2 linked regions of the Drosophila melanogaster genome follow. The protein of the gene in region 2 interacts with the protein of the main gene of each other region in a pairwise test. Each region holds a gene or a part of one and is shown on either strand. Other genes may lie near its edges.

Region 1 (9,678 bases), on a different chromosome or scaffold from region 2:
TTTGTGTAAATTATAGCAAGCTGGCGAACTTTTACTCAAACTCGTATTGAACTTACAGGGCGTTTTTGAGATGTTTGATTTCCTCCTCCATCGTGGCATTCCGCTCGTCCTGATTGGCTCGCAACAATGATACCCGCGAATTCTGCTCCTTTAACAACTTGATGATATGCTCCTGCCTCCTCACTTCCCTTTGTTTGTGCGTGAGGGTCCCGTAGAGATTATAGAACTCCTCCTCCTTCGAACTCAGCTTGTTGTTTACCTGCGGGAGGAAGAAGGATAAGCATAAGCGAGGCTAGCCACATCCTTTTTCGGCGGACCTGATTGATAAGCGTTTCTTTCTCGCTAACTTGATAGTACATTTGGTCTAGTTTGGTGCGGCTATCCTCCTCATTCTTCTGCAGTGTTGCGATCAATTCGCTGCGAGCGTTCAGCAACTTCTGATCGATAACCATTTGCTCGCGCATCTTGGACACTTCCTTGCGCAGCTGCACTTCGAGCTTGGATTGCATCTCCAATTTGGCATTGGTAACACTTAGGGTCTCCCTTAGATCGCTGGTTATCCAAGCAAGAGATATGTTAATCAATATACATAATCTATGATACTGTTAACCAAGCAGTTTACCTTATCTGCTGTAGAGCTTCCTTATAGTTTCCACCCAGCTCTTCAAAGTCGGCATGCTGCTTTATTGTATTGGCCACCTGTTTGTTCATGACCTTCTTATGCTGCTCGAGACTTTGCAGCTGCAGTTTCAAATCGGCAATGATCAAATCCTTTTCTTTAACTCCCGCGTCCATGGCATCTGGACGCTGTTCCAGATGGACAATGAGCTCACGGGCCTCCTTCAGTTCGCCCTCCAGGTAATCGATGTGTTTCAAGTTCTTATCGACGGAATTTCGAGCCCGCTCCAGACCTTTGTCCGCCTCTTCCAGACGCTTAACCATTTGCTCTTTTCTAGATACGATATAAGGAAAGATCTGTAAGAACCATCATCTGCCGAGATGACCAGTTAACTTACACAGTCTTGAGCTTGGCTACCTCGGAGCGCAGTACCTCGATGGTGGAATCCTCGGTCAATAGCTTGGAATTGTTCTCGGCCAATCGAATGGACTGCTCACTGAGCATATCCTCGCTTCGCCGCAGGCTCTTTCTCAGCTCTACAATGATCTGATCTCGACTGGCCAGCTCCTGTTTCAGCTTGGCATCGAGCTCGATCCGCAACTGGTTCATCTGTTCAGTGTGCTCCTTCTGGGCGTCAAAATAACGAACCTCCATGGCCTGTTTCTGGGAACGCAACTCGGACATCTCGCGATAGAGACTTTTGTTGGGTGACTCTTGTTTGGAGCATGCACCGCACAACTGTTCGATCTCCTCGACGATTAAATTCATTTTTTCTTCCTGGAGACACAATAAAATAGTTTCACATTGCTAGTGCATCATAGCGGTTGCACAAAAACATACCACTAGGTTAGACAACTTTTTTTGAGTTTCCTCACGCTTTTCACTAGCCTCGAGATCATTTTTAGCCCTCTGAATTCTTGGTATATGGTCGTAGATTAACAAAACCCCCTGATCTACAATCGCACGACACCTGGTTTTCAAGTCATTCATACTTTCGGCGGCTAGAAAATAAAAGTATGCAATTGTAAGCGAAAGAAGGATAATTCAAGGATAACAATTCATTCAATCGAAGACGTAAAATCAAAACGAACTTACGAATACTCTTGGGCAATCGAAGTAGATCATCATGGTGGACCACAAGCTTGCATTCATCGTTTACAGTCAGACCCACAAACTTGAAGACCCCTTGATTCCGGAGCTCCGAACCCATTAACCGGATCTTGTGCATAAACTCGGACTGCAGGTTCTCCAGTTTTTTTTTCTGCGTATCAAAGACCCGCATCCGGTTCATCTCCAGGACACGGCGATGCGACATCTTTTCAGGCTTCTTTACATTTTGATAAGGTTCTGTGGACGGCAATAATCAGAGAATTGGACCACGTTTCAAATATTCGCGATACCCACCGCATGTCGTTGACTTAACCAATTGTGCTGACTGGGCATGCGTCTTTATGGGAACCACGTTCCGCTTGGGGGGATTCAACTCATCGATATCAGTTTTCCGATCGGGCTCAACTACTTTATGCTCGGGCTCGACCCGTCGATTGGGCAACGAATACGTACTGACACACGGGCGCGCTTTCGTCGAAGAAGTAACCCGTTCCAGAGAAGTTTTTCGCGAATGGATAGACGACCGACTCGCTCCACGCCTATTTGGAATGTGACTGAGCCTACCTTTGTTTGGGCTTCCGTCGCCATTCTGGGTGGGAGGAGTAGAGAAGACGCCACCACAAGAAGAAGTGCGAGACTGGGACGGGGATGTAAAGCATTTGAAAAAACTAAACCCTTTTCTTCTATCTCACTCACCCATGTAGCTTTGTCTGAGGCTTGCTTTTCCGCCTTTCCAGCTGTCCTCAGCAAGAATGCTTTGTTACCTAACAAGGATAACGAGCATTTGAAGCACACATTCGTATAGCGTTCAAGGTACATGTACTTACTACGAACTGAACGCGGCGTCACGCTGGAAGAATTCATATCTAAAGTTTCGGAAATCAACGCTTTTTTGTAAACGATTTTTGTGTTCAAAATGAGGAAAAAATAGTATAGAAAATTTGTTTCTAAATATTTCCAGTTGAACTACGTCTAGTGTAAATGGTACAAAAATGCTTTCTGACCAATCCAAACGAGGTGGTTCGTGGAAGTAACATGAATTCAAACTCAGAGCACACTTGTTCAGTTCCAATGTACCCGGTGTTTTTGGGGTCTGTTTGTTTAGAATGAGCGTATGAAAACTAATGGTTTCTATCAACAAATGCGAATCTGCAAAAGAAGCGGAAACTAAGCTAAATGGGAGGGAAAAGTAGAGAGCAGTTTTTCCCTCTCTGAGGTTCTCCATGTAATCCATTCGTCGGTCCCGAATGATGCACATCGTCCATCCAATAATCGACTCGGCGAAATTTGCATTCAGTTGCTGTTCGTGCGTCCACCGAGTAAGTTCTTAGTTCGGATTTCCCTCTAAAAGCATATATTTCGAGATTGTTTCATTTACGATCCATCAATACTGAGTAACAAGAGTATGAAAAAACAATCTGTACCACCTTGCTATTAGTTTATTTTCTCAAAATAACTTAATCAACTGGATTAACATACATGATGTGCTAGTGAAAGTGGGTGCTACAATATAAGTGCAGTACTGAGGTGAAGAAGCCCTAAAAGTGACTTTAATGATTTAGATCCATGGGAAATGGACGTTTGTCACCCCCTTGTATTCGAATTCGCTGTAGACAGTCGGCGCGTTTTTCAATTGAATTTAATCAGTGACGTAGACGGTCTATATAGTACAGACTATATATTGTATATACGCAATGCGATCCGATTTTCAAGGGGTAAACAACCAACAACCCGCCTAGTTCAAGTTCCGCATGGCAATTGAGCTGGCATAATTTGGATCTCAAAGGAAATGGAAAGTGTCTGCGAAAATAGCAATATGCACTATGTGTGACATCACGCAAAGTCATTCAATTGAAGGCTATTTCTACGAATTCAAGTTCAGTTTGAAACTGGAAGTAGGCTCCATTGGTTGCCATTGACATTCGATACCAATGCGGATAATTAAGACAATTAAGTGCTGGCCAGAAATAGTTTTTTCCCCCACAACCACGTGGCTGCATCAAATGATTGTAAATTTGTATTCCCACTCAATTTTGCATTGCAGCTCTTTGAAATGAAAGCTCTGGAAGGTTTCACTATTCTTCTCGCATTAGTGGGTGTTATTCCCCGGATCGAGGGCTGCATTAGGGTCCCACCGGGAGTCACAGCAGCCAAGTCACCGGTGGATGATAACTATGTGCTGTCCGTAAACGGAAATACGCAGAGTTATGTGCCCGGTCAAAGGTATAATGGTGAGTGCATTAAATTAAGCATTAAATTAAATTAAATTTACAAATTTCTAGATTTTTCTTTCAATTCTCTAATCTTTCGCTGCTCGTTTTCAGTTAGCCTCAGTGCATTTTCTGGCTTGTCCTTCATTAGCTTTATGCTGGCCCTGGATTTGGAGAGTGGTGACGGCGATGGTGACGCCAATGCCCTGGGCACCTGGGAGATCGCCGATCTCGCCGAGACCCGTTTCAGTCCGCGCTGCCCAAATCTTGTCGAGAATACCAACACGAACGTGAAGACACGCGTGGATGTGTTCTGGGTGGCTCCATCGAGTCCGGGACAGGGCTGCATCCTGCTGAGGGCTACGGTGATGCAGCATCGAGATGTGTGGTTCATGGATGATGGCTTCCTTACCAAGCGTATGTGCGAGGAGGAGGTGGACGACATTGACACCCAGCCCAGCATCGTGGATCCGTGCTGTGCCTGTGACGAGGCCAAATATGAGGTGGGACTCTTTTAACTCATTATTGAAATGGTATTAACACCTCCTTACTTCAGCTTACCTTCGAAGGCAAGTGGTCGCGTCACACACATCCCAAGGACTTTCCAGCGAATAGCTGGCGCACCAGATTCAGCGATATCATTGGTGCCTCGCACACACTGGACTACAGATTCTGGCAGTATGGAGAGCTGGCCAGCGAGGGGCTGCGTGAGGTGGCGGAGCATGGCTCCACAAGGACCTTGGAGAGTGAGCTGAAGGATCAGAGCGAACACATTCGCACGATCATCAAGGCAAGGGGCATTGCCTATCCGAATGTTACGGGCAAAACATTTGCCGTTTTTCGCGTCGACTCCAACCACCATTTGATCTCCCTCGTATCAATGGTGGATCCCTCTCCAGACTGGATCGTTGGTGTATCCGGCCTCGAGCTATGTCTGCCCAACTGTTCCTGGGTGGAGAACAAGGTGCACAACCTATATCCCTGGGATGCGGGCACCGATAGTGGTCCATCATATATGGTAAGACGATTTCCATGATTTAGTCTTCAGTAGAGTCAATCACGAATACTTTTCAGTCCGCTGACCAGCCACAGGTGCCTCCAGATGTTGTGCGCCGCATCAAATCAAATTTCCCCAACGATCCCCGTTCGCCCTTTTATGATCCCACTGGTGCCCAGATGAAGCCATTGGCCACCCTGCACATCAATCGAAGACGACTCTACGAAAAGAACTGCGAGTCCTCCGATTGTAAGTTAAATGCAACCATATATTGATGTTGTGAATATACATACTATATACTTTAATCCTGTAGCGGAACAGGTACCGCCGGAGTGCGCCACAAACTCGTGGTCCAGATGGGATGAATGCACCACAAAGTGCGGTCCCGGCAAGCAATACAGAATCCGAGAGTTCAAGAACCCTGCATTGGCTTCGGTAATTAAGACGACATATATAATTTGGATCCCATACTATATATACATTTTGACACCTACCTTAGCGTCATCGTTGCAACAATGCCCTGCGTGAGGAGAAGAACTGCGTGGGACACAAGTGCGCTGGCTTCAATGAGGAGACAGCTGAAGGCGGCGAGCCGGAGGTGGCGCCATCACCAGGTAGCAGCGACGATCCCCAGTGCGGTCTGTCTGACTGGTCGGAGTGGTCTTCGTGCACCGTGACTTGTGGAACCGGCGAAATGACCCGATCCCGACACTATCTAAACAAGAAGGCCAAGAAGAAGTGCCAGAAGGCAAGCAGGGCGCGTCTGCATGAGACCAAGATTTGCGAGGCAATGGAATGCGGTGGGGACATCGAGAACGAAGGTGGTGCTGGGGAACCGGAGGAGGAACAGGCCGGTGGCGACGGAGGTGGATCCGCTGAGAAACGCTCCATATTCCGCAACTTCGAGAGTTACAGTCAGCATCGGGAGGATTACATACCACCGGTTTGCGGGGTCACTCCATGGTCGGATTTCTCGCCGTGCATGGGGCCATGCGGTGGACATGGAAAGCGGCAACGTATTCGCAAGGTGTGGAATAACAACCAGGTGTACGGAGTAACGGATCCCAATGATGACGGCCAGGATCCCTGTCGACACATCAAGCTGCACGAGGAGGTGAACTGCACCAATCCTAGCTGCGATACCATTGTTCCCGGCTTCTGCTACGACGAGCTGACCGACAGTCCGTGTCGGGATAACGATGTGGCCAACTTCTGGTACTACGACCATGTGAGTGACCAGTGTGCCATCTATTGGTCGGATCGTTGTGATACAAATCGCAACAAATTCAAGTCGAAGGAGGAGTGCGAGGAGACATGTCGCCTGCCGCGCCACAAACAGGAACTGCAGCACGATGGCATTCCAGCCATTGATTGTCTCGTCTCTGACTGGGTTTCCCACAGTTGCAACGCCTCCTGCGGCGATGGCTTCCAATTGCGAACGCGTCGGGTGCTCCGTACTCCGAAGTATGGAGGCAAGCCATGTCCCAAGCACCTGGTACGTTTGGATCGCTGCTACCAGCGGTGCGATGACATGTACTCAATCAGTGGACGGGGATTTGGAGAGCGAAGGCATGTGGTAAGAGCTCCGCAACCGGAACCGCAGGACGAGTGTCGCTACTCGGAGTGGTCCGCCTGGACACCATGCACCGCCACGTGTGGCGATAATGCCGTTCGCCAACGAACCCGAACCCTAATGAACACCGATCTGAGCTACAAGTGCAAGGATCGCGTCCGCATGGAAAAGTGCGTGATGATGCCTTGCCAGCTGACCAGCAACGATGATCCAGAGCGGTGGTGAACATACCATTAACTGCTACAAGTATTAGTTCTAATCCAACTATGTAATCATTACCAATGGATATCGTTAAATATATGAAAAATTCCAGACTACCTACACTAGCTCTTCTCGCAACAGATTAAATATGTATTAAAAACAATAAAACAGAATTGTGTTCGCGTGGTAATTCCAATTCCGATTGAGTTTAACCTTGACCCAGTTCCATTAAGCAAACAGTGGCCAGTTTACGAGTGATTTTTCGCCGGGTTGCAAGTTCAAAGAACCCGGGCACAATTCATCAATTGAAAAGCTTGCCATAAAAACAAACCATTCCTAATTGAAGACAACTCAATCAAGATGCCATAAGCTGTCAACGCCGAGAGCGCCATTTAAGGGATAATTGATAAATTGGAAATGCTCATCAATTAATGGAGATGGCTAGCCATCAGTTTTGGTCAGTCGCCGTTGAGCCTCGACCCAGTACGGATCGCTAAGATTGAGAAGAGATGCTTCGCCATATCGTGCTCCTCATTCTGCTGTCTTCCGAAGTCAGAGGAGTCTGCAATCGGATACCCCAAGGTGCCAGTGGCCCTCGATCGCCTGTGGATGATAACTTTAAGATCCTTATCGATGGCAATCCAGAGACCTATGTGCCAGAACATCAGTACAATGGTGAGAGTCTCGAGTTGTCCTGAAGCTTTTACTTCAACATTATTATCATCATAAGTTTCGTTATCCTGTCCAATAAACATGAAATTCGTGAGCTTCACCTTGGTGGTCGAGGCTGAGGATCCGTCGGCTGCCTTCGGTGGTCAGGATATGACCGGTCACTTTGAACTGCTGGGAGTCGGAGACACCCGATTCAGTACCAGTTGTGAGAACATGGTGGAGAACACAAATACGAATGCCAAGATCTATATCGCGGTATCCTGGATAGCACCACGTAATCCGGACAGCGGTTGTGTACTGATTAAGGCTGGTGTGGTTCAACATCGTGATGTGTGGTTTCTGGACGATGGCTTCCTGACCAAGCGGATTTGTCCCGAGGAAATCGACGAACTGAACAGCTTAACACCACCCTTGGAAACTTGCTGTGCCTGTGATGAAGCCAAATATGAGGTTGGAATATCTTCTCAACTCTTCCTAATATTGTGTTTAAAATAATCGTATCTAATAGATTGTTCTGGAGCGAAAGTGGGCAAGGAACACCCATTGGAAGGACTTTCCCTCTGAGGACTGGCGCACACGCTTGGGCGAGGTGATTGGTGCTTCACATAGCCACAGCTATCGCTACTGGGCCTACGGAGGAAGAGCGAGCAAGGGCATGAAGGAGTTGGCCGAGCACGGAGCTACACGTACCCTTGAGAATGAGATCAGGGAGAATACTCAGGTAGGTAATCAATTTTATCGCATTAAATCCACTTCATCATGGTGTTTCTAACAGAATGGCGAGGTGAGAACTATAATAAAGGCTCCTGGAATTCCCTATCGTCCGAAAACATTTGGCACAACCCTGGCCAATGCTCGTCTGGATCCAGTACACCATCAGATATCGCTAGCAGCCAAGATTGATCCTTCACCCGATTGGATACTGGGCGTGGCTGGATTGGAGCTTTGCTTGAGCAATTGTACGTGGCTGGAGCGAAAGGTCTTGAATTTGTATCCCTGGGACATCGGCACCGATTCGGGACCATCGTATATGGTAGGCGAAAAATAGCCCACTATGCATTATATTTATCTCCTTCAAAGTCCTCAGATGAGCCACAAGTGCCACCGGATGTGGTGCGCCGTATAACATCTTCGTATCCCAGCGACCATCGTTCGCCATTTTACGATGACACCGGTGCCCCAATGAAACCCTTGGCCACACTCTACTTGACCCGGAAGAAACTCTACATTAGGGAGTGCGAAGAGGGTAAGTGATCGTTATTGTAATCCCTGCACGTGCTGTTCATAATCTTTAGTATTAGTTCCCCAGGAAGGACCGCTGGAGTGCGCTGTACACCCTTGGAACGAGTGGACCAACTGCAGCACGCGATGTGGTCAGGGCTACTCTCATCGTCAGCGTAGCTTCAAGAATCCCAATCTAGCTGCCAACTTTAACTGCGATAGGCGCTTGGAGGAGTTCCGCCAATGCCAGGGAACCCAATGTGGGGCAGCGGAGGAGGAACTGGAAGGCGAGGAGCCTGGCCTGGGCATGGAAAATCCCCCAAGTAGTGGCTCAATGGCCGAGTGCCAGCTGACCAACTGGGGCGAGTGGTCACCGTGCACGAAGACATGCGGCAGAGGATCTTCCACACGTACCCGGGACTATTACAATCCGCAGGCCAGGCAGCGCTGTTTGTCCGTGATGCGAATACCGCTCGAGGAAACTCGGGAGTGCATTGGATCAGATTGTGGTGGCACCATTCCGGATAATGGCGAACTCGATGGCTTTCCGGAACCAGATGTGTTCGGAGAGACGGATCACGGCGGTTACATGGGCAAAACCACTTCTTGGAACAGTAAACAGGAGCATTCCAGTCTAGGTTCCGGCAACCAGGCGTGGAATAGAAAGCCCTACAATTCGTGGAAAGATAAATCTCTTTCCAACCCTAGAGATAACGCACAGGAGTCCCCAAACTTACCGTTCGATCAGATAGAAAATCCTCAGAGACCTGCGTATAATCCATCTGACAATATGGGTGGTTATGACAAGGGCTTTCCTCCGACAAATAGCTACAGCAATGACAAGCTTGTGGGCAATAGACCCGGCTACAATGACTTCAATTCGGACTATAACAACAAGGACGCTTACAATGATTACACTACCCCTAGTTTTACATCTCGCACTCCCTTTGGAAGTCGGTATCCCAATCAGCAGGAGACTGTGGAGGGAAATACCAACGATATCAATGGCAACTATAATGTGGTTCAAGATTATTGCTTTGAAAAGCCATATGCCTCGACTCTTCCCTGTTTCGCC
Region 2 (7,269 bases):
GCCGATCCAAATGCCGGACGCTATGTGCGCTATCAGTTCACACCGGCATTTCTCAACCTCAAAACAGTGGGAGCCACGTAGGTTATACAGTATTTGCATTTGTTTTAAATGCCTCTCAATTTGTAAGTTTCCCTTATTTGCAGTGTGGAATTCACTGTGGGCAGCCAGCCGCTTAATAATTTTCGTATGATCGAACGCCACTTCTTCCGCGATCGCCTGCTAAAGACGTTTGACTTTGAGTTCGGCTTTTGCTTTCCATTTTCGAAGAATACGGTTGAGCACATCTACGAGTTTCCTAACCTTCCACCCGACCTAGGTGAGCAATTTTTACATAATCCCAGCCAGCATGACACGCAATTGAAAGTTGCTGCCAAAAGTTGAAGGGGTTTGTGGGTCAAGGTCGTTTACGATTTGCGCCTGTGAGATGAGGCTTCTATTGGTCAGATTGCGAGCAGCTATCATGGTTTTTATTTTTTGTTATCGGTTTGTAGGATGTGGACTTATTAATGAAATGCAATTCACATAAATATGTTCGTTCGTTTTCCATTTTTTTTTAGTTGCTGAGATGATATCGAGCCCCTTTGAGACGCGCTCGGACAGCTTTTACTTTGTGGGAAACCGACTCGTCATGCACAACAAAGCCGACTACGCCTACGATGGCGGCAATATAGTCTAGAAACTCAACTATAATGGAACTGCAACTAGAGCAAAACTAATAACTAAAGAACTAGAAACTACAGAAGCTGTGAGACAAAATCAATGACTTGTCACACACACACACACACGAAACACCCACTCAATGTCAACAATCACACTCACAAACACATCGAATCGAATCGAGGAATATTATCACAGCCATTTTAGCCTTAGCACACCAAAGTTTTACCCACCATTCCTGTTTGATGTATTTAGCATCAAGATATGATCTCCTGCAAACGGAAACTAACACACAAACACAACAACAACACACTGAAGCACGCGGATTGTGTTCATTTATCAATGATTTCCACTTTGACTATATAATTTTAAGTGCTATGTGATTTCCCTTGATTTATATATGTATTTGTACACACTTATTTAATCCTAATAAGTAAGGACACTCCACACACACACCCAACAAGAAACAACAAATACATATATATAAAATACGTACGTATACACACACGCACACACAGAACTTATGAGAAGCGAATTGGAAATTTTCAAAAAAAAAAAATTGAGGAAAATCCATTTGCCGTCAATTTTTGTATGCAGCATACGAAATCATACGAAATCTATCAGCTTCTTCATGGCATTTTTTTCGTGTCTGTGTATGTATATTTTTTAAACAAAAACCAAATGGAAAAAGACGAACGTAACTGGAAATCCAAAAAAAAAAAAACACTAACGATTACACGCCGAACAAGAATGATAAATTAAATTACATTTTAAATGTACATACACCACTATAAATTGAAACTTTTCTAAGGGGGTTAAATCGAGGGCATTTCGTGCACTAAAGGTGCTTAAGAAATTTATTATATTCTGAAAAATCATCAAGTTCAGAACGCTTATATCAAAAAAAAAAATATATATATTGCTATCCCGCTCTTTTCGGTGAAGATTCTTGAAGATCTGCGTAGATCGTTGAAGAATGTCTTCTCGAGTTCTGAAGTGAAATTAATTTGAATTCCCGTTCCCAAGAAAAACAAAGCGTTCACTTTCCAATTTAGCTAAAGTCGATCTACGCGATTGACTTCTTTGTACATTTGGTTAAAATATCAAAATTTGGTCTACTCAGTTCTATTCAGGAACTCGCTGACTATTGTTAGAAACTCCTGCGGCTTTTCAAAGTGCACTAAATGTCCGGCATCCAGCCAGTGGATCTCAGAATTGGGAAACATTTTCTGTATCTGTGGCCATTGCTCGCGTCTAATAAAGATGGCAAAAAGATTCAATTAGTTTAGTTTACTTAGCACCTCGGGATCCAAGTTACCTCATGTAAGGTGATCGCGTGCCGCAAATGAACGTAGTGGGTCCCGTGTACGGCGGCAGTTCCTCCAAATTACTCTGATATTTGTCGAAGCGGGTGAGGAATTCACGAAGAACATGGGCATTGCAGGCCCAAGAGAAACTATAGGAAGATTATCTCATTTTAAAGCGGTTCCCAAAAAAGGCCAAATACATATGTGGCAAACTTACGCGCCGGTGTCAGGATTTTTTCGGAGATTCAGCATGATAAAGTCAACGGTCTCGTCTTCGGTGGCTTTCAGTAGTTTTTCCCGTGCAATTTTCCTGCCCTCAGACATGGACATGCTTGGCGAAAGGTCCAGGGAGACCATCGCGTCGAAAATTTCCGTCATCTCGCCCGTGGAACGGGGCACGCTAATTGGCGATATGTCCACCACTATCAAACGTTCCACCAACTCGGGCTATGATAATGGAAAAATGATTGTTTAACATTTAACTCAGTTTGTGCATAAGGCGCAACACTTACATATTTTCGAGCGAAGTACATCATGGACCTGCCGCCCATGCTGTGACCCATGCAGGCGGCATTCGGATGACTGCGCTGCTCCATAAACAAACGCAAATCCTCGCTCATCGCTTTGGAATTGTGGACACTCGAATGTGGACTCTCGCCATGATTCCTCACATCGATGGCGTACACCTGTAGGTTAAAATAAATACACATTGGCTTGAGCATTGATACTTTGGCTAAACGCATAAATTGGTAAGCTCACCTTTCGGGAAACTTTTCGCACCAGAGCCTTGCTAATTCCTCGCCAATTTTGCTTGGAACCAAAGAGTCCATGATATGTGAGCAGTGGTGGACTCGTCTCTGGATTCTCGCCGGTGTACGAATCGAAGCTTAGTTCAACGGGATCCGGTATTTCCGAGGAGTACTCCCTTCTGACCACCAATTGGGTTCGCAGGATCTTTCCCGCGGGAAATGGAAGTGAACGTAACGATTTCGTCAGGCGCTGCATTTGGTGGCCCCAGTGTGTACACACGCCACCGGCGGGAAAACTAATTGGGCAGTGGTATGTTGCCGCCGAGGGGGGTTCGTTGCTTTGCTAAAGTTGCGTAATTATTGTTAATTTGCAGCAATTTCGATAAATTTCAACATTTTGCCAATTGTGTACGGAGTCCAGCTGACCGGTGTTTTATTTTTCGACAACATGTAGTTTGGCAATTGTCAAGGGCGTAGATGAAAAAACTAATTATACAAATTTTAAGTCATGAATATAAATATACAATATTTTTTGTAGTCGTTGAAAATGGTTTGGTTATAAATAGATTAGAAACACGTTTTTCTTATAAATTTATCTTTGACAATTAACCGTTATCATACTCTGTAATTTTTTGCATACACCTAAGCCATTTTATCATAAATAAGCACATAAAATATGTGCAAGTATTTACCAAATATTAATGGGGCTCTTAACCCCTTACGACCCCTTCCAAACGATGGCTCTGTTGACAAAGTGGCAACACTGGCGCGCAAATATCTCGATGCTAGCCATGGCATGAACCATTTTGGATATTTACTTAGTCATGTCTGTGCGTCAGCCACATAAGCTAAGATAACATCACCGACTAGGCACGCACGCTTTTCGCCGTATTTCCGGGCACGCCATGCACAGTCACACTGGCAGCTGCCATATTCTTTAGGCAAACGTTTTCTGTCGGAAACAGTTTTTTCATTAACACAAAAAAAGGCATCCAGAGCATTTGCTGTAGCACAAAAACATCGAATTTCCAACGCTACCAGGTAAACCAGTCGCCGCCGAGCCGCCGGAAAAACGGGCTTTCCAGTTCGTCTTTAGCGGTAAAAAGATTGAAGGAGGAAAGCGCGGCGCTGACGTCGGCAGCGGTAGAGGCAGCGCAGCGGCGCTCTTGCTCGCATTCACACTACTCAAACATAGGTAAGCAGCAACAAGAAATCAAGCATATTGTCAAAATCAGAGCAACAAATTGATATATTTTCAAGTATTCTATTTTTCCCCTCCAAAAAAAAAAAAAAAAAAAAAAAAATGAAATGAAAACTGAACTAGAGAATGTAAAAAAGTTAAGTTGCAAAAGTAACACAAAAAACCAGTTAAACGTTCAAGTAAAAGTCAGTAAGTGAATAAAAGTGGTTAAAGTTGTTAAGAAAATTCAATTTCGGTCGCGAAAAGTGCGAAAAAGTCCGCAAAAATGCAAATACTTAACTCTCCTCTGTGTGTGCGCCTGTGTGTGTGTGCGTGTCCTTAACTGTGTGTGTGAGAGGGAAAGAGAGCGCCAGAATAGAAAGAATTTTTCAAATTGCACTGCGCTTACAATCTCGCTCTCCCTCGCTCTTTGTTGTCCCTCGTTCGCGTCAAGAAAATTAATCAAAAATAAAGTATAAAGAGAAATAAAAAAAGAAAAAAAGATACTGGCACACACACAATATAATCAATTAATTAAAAAACATAAAAGCTTATAAAAGAAATGAAGGTAAGAACCCCACTAAAAGTTAAAAGCAAAAAAAAAAAAACTTATTCTGTCATTCCCACAAATATAAAAAAAATCCTATATCAAAATCGATTGTTATCGCGTTATCGGAGCTATCGGCATTTGTTTGGGGGCTTTTGACCTTGACTTTCGTTTCTATCCCCTTTCTATTAAGGCCATCCCCTATCTGCTCCTCCTCCTATTCACAATTATTAGTTATCGACCCAGTGCGATGCTCGCCTCGATTATTGCGATTACATAATATTAGTTCTATCGATTTTCTTATCGATTCTTTTGTAATTGACAATTAGAATACCCACGTGGTTACAATCAACATGAATCGAAACTGGACAGACAAATGTCTTTATTCCTTGCCGACTTAGTATACTTGCTGTTTCGATTCAAAACTTGTCCACTCAATTAACCGGTAATCGTCGCCAGAAGCCCCCAATAAAATATCGACTTGCTTCGCTAGTTTTGCCCCGGTGACATTCCCCTCCCACCAGGACGTGGTGGCTTTTAATCGTCTGAGCCTTGTCCAAAGCGTTGAGTATATTTAGCCATGCCAGAAAAACTAATTCTCGATCTGTTCGAATCTCCTGCAGAAACGCCAAGGAACTAGTTGGTCGCACCGGCGTAAGGCGAACCCATGGTCCTTGACATGGAATCGGACGATTCTCATGCCAGTTCGGCGTCCAATTCCTCGGAGTCACGGTCGAATTCGCCCACCAACGACAAGGATGAAGTTGTCGCGGATCATGGTGGCGAATCGCCTGGCGGAGGTGGCGACCCCATACTGGATCGGTCCGATCGAGCCCCCTCCACCAGTAGCTCATCGTCCAACTCCAGTTCCAGTTCGAATCGCAGTGACCTGTCCAAGAAGCAGAAGAAGAGCTCGAGCAGCAGCAGCGGAAGTGGCAGTGGCAGTGGCAGTAGCTCTTCCAGCGGCTCCTCTAGCGAGGATGAGGGCGATCAGGAACCGGAACAGGAGGTGCAGCGTCTTTCCGAGCAGCAACGGGAGCAGCAGCAGCATTCGCCGATAAATGAGCGAGAGTCCGAGTCTGCTGCTGGAACGCCTGTTAATGCGGATCAACCTGGTTCGCCAAACGCTAAGTCACAGCCTAGCTCGTTCCTCTCATCCGTTCGCAGTCGAAGCGTCAGTCCCCAGCTGTACAATCAGGCTGCCGTGGATCTGAATATCAGTCACGACGACCTTAGCGATGTCAGCGACATCGAGGGTGAGGAGAAGCGAACCTCATCCAAAAATTCAATGCGTCCGGCGGATGAGAACGAGGATGGCGCCATTTCCAATGATTCACTGCCCACTCTCGGCGAAGAGGATGAGGTTGAGCAAAAGCAGTCCACGCCTAACGGCAAAGCGTCAAGCGGGGATGAGAAGGAGCCTTTCGCAAAAGAAACCCATGTGAGCTCTAGTTTCGAATTGTAGTTTCTAATCTAAATAGCTTGAATCATTAATAACTCAAATGTATTTCAGACCGACGACGCGTCCAATGGACTTGCACCAGCGACCGCTTTGCAGGAGGACTTGGTCAAAACTCATGACGACGACGCCTTGGACTTCGAGGCGGAAGAGGGCGAGTGTCCGGAGCAGGCAAAGGAGCCTTCACCGATGGAGAGCACAGCCAACGAAACAAACCAGACCAAGAGTACGACCAAGGTGTCGCAAGACGAGGGCGATGACGACGGCGAGGTGGATAAAGACGGCGATGATAAAGACGGCGATGACAAAGACACACGCAAGGATGGCGCTGGCAATGGCTGCTTGGAGGATGGCGCAGGCAATGACAGCCGGAAGGACGACGCAGGCAATGGCTGCCTGGAGGAAGGCGAGGAGGAAAAAGATATAGTGTCGGTGTCGACTTCATCCAGCCAGGAAAAAGTGGAAGAGGGGGAGCTGGAGGAGGGCGAGGTGTCCGATGAGGATGAAAAGCGACCGGAGGAGACTGAACCGAAGCCGGTGTGTCGATTCTACACTCGGGGTCAGTGCACCTGGGGGATGAGCTGCCGCTTCCTGCATCCTGGCGTCACAGACAAGGGCAACTACACAATGTTCGACAACGTTATACGGCCGGTCCCGATGCAGGGAGGTTCAACTGGAGCCAGCGCCCCAGCAGCCCCATCATCGACCGCTGCCCCTCGTGCCGGAGGGAGTGCCTATAGTTCCCACGCCTCGGCGACTGCTGACTATCATGATTATCGAACTGAGCGGCCATTGCATCACCGACCGCCGCTCCTTCATGCGCCCAGTATTTATGGTGCACCCGTCCACGACGCCCGCACTCTTTTGCCTGACGGAGCTCCGGTGGTGGTGGAGAATGCCTGGGAGCGCGGCCTGCGCACCGCTAAGGAGATGATGCGAAAAGCCAACAAACGCAAGGAGCAGGACATGGACTTTGAGGACAAGAAGATGAACCTAACACTGTCGCCCGATGAAATGGAGAAGGATTCGTACTACCTCAAGGATCGGGGCGGTAGCAGCGCCCGATCACCGCCGCCTCCTTCGGCCAATGTGCGCGAACAGCCACTCAATCCACTCAGTATGCCTCTGTCCATGCATCCGCATGCCGTTGCCCATGCAAATCCTCGTGCTCTTCTGCCCTTGCAGTACTCCGTTTACGGACCGCCACCCGATCGCTACGGCCGACCTCAGTATATGCCACCGCAGTACGATGATGTGGATGCGTACGGCCGTATGACTAGATATCGCGAATTGCCGCCCCACCGGATGCCGCACTATGAGGACGATCGCCGTTCGAGACCAACGCGCGAGGTCATCGTACAGCGTGTGGA

Evidence for each region. Proteins that work in one complex are often made in the same cells at the same time.
Region 1: the proteins of CG2059 (region 2) and CG17739 interact in a two-hybrid assay, tested with the Drosophila melanogaster proteins (one large-scale study listed by BioGRID).

Annotation. Positions count from the first base shown.
Region 1 is NT_033778.4:12,303,506-12,313,183, forward strand, and holds CG17739 (uncharacterized protein), read left to right. Parts: upstream 1-3,022; 5' UTR 3,023-3,048; intron 3,049-3,773; 5' UTR 3,774-3,782; coding exon 3,783-3,960; intron 3,961-4,053; coding exon 4,054-4,442; intron 4,443-4,495; coding exon 4,496-4,957; intron 4,958-5,013; coding exon 5,014-5,185; intron 5,186-5,249; coding exon 5,250-5,371; intron 5,372-5,435; coding exon 5,436-6,734; 3' UTR 6,735-6,907; downstream 6,908-9,678. Other genes in the region: salto, read right to left, coding at 57-259, 318-552, 623-952, 1,017-1,396, 1,460-1,620, 1,715-1,966, 2,024-2,366, 2,426-2,493 and 1 more; CG30203 (uncharacterized protein), read left to right, coding at 7,220-7,385, 7,441-7,832, 7,891-8,103, 8,158-8,415, 8,463-8,628, 8,684-9,678.
Region 2 is NC_004354.4:7,282,553-7,289,821, reverse strand, and holds CG2059 (uncharacterized protein), read right to left. Parts: upstream 3,465-7,269; 5' UTR 3,406-3,464; intron 3,172-3,405; exon of another isoform or gene 3,057-3,171; 5' UTR 2,970-3,056; coding exon 2,724-2,969; intron 2,651-2,723; coding exon 2,477-2,650; intron 2,412-2,476; coding exon 2,182-2,411; intron 2,114-2,181; coding exon 1,976-2,113; intron 1,912-1,975; coding exon 1,773-1,911; 3' UTR 1,705-1,772; downstream 1-1,704. Other genes in the region: unc-119, read left to right, coding at 1-77, 144-316, 558-676; CG1677 (uncharacterized protein), read left to right, coding at 5,108-5,881, 5,954-7,269.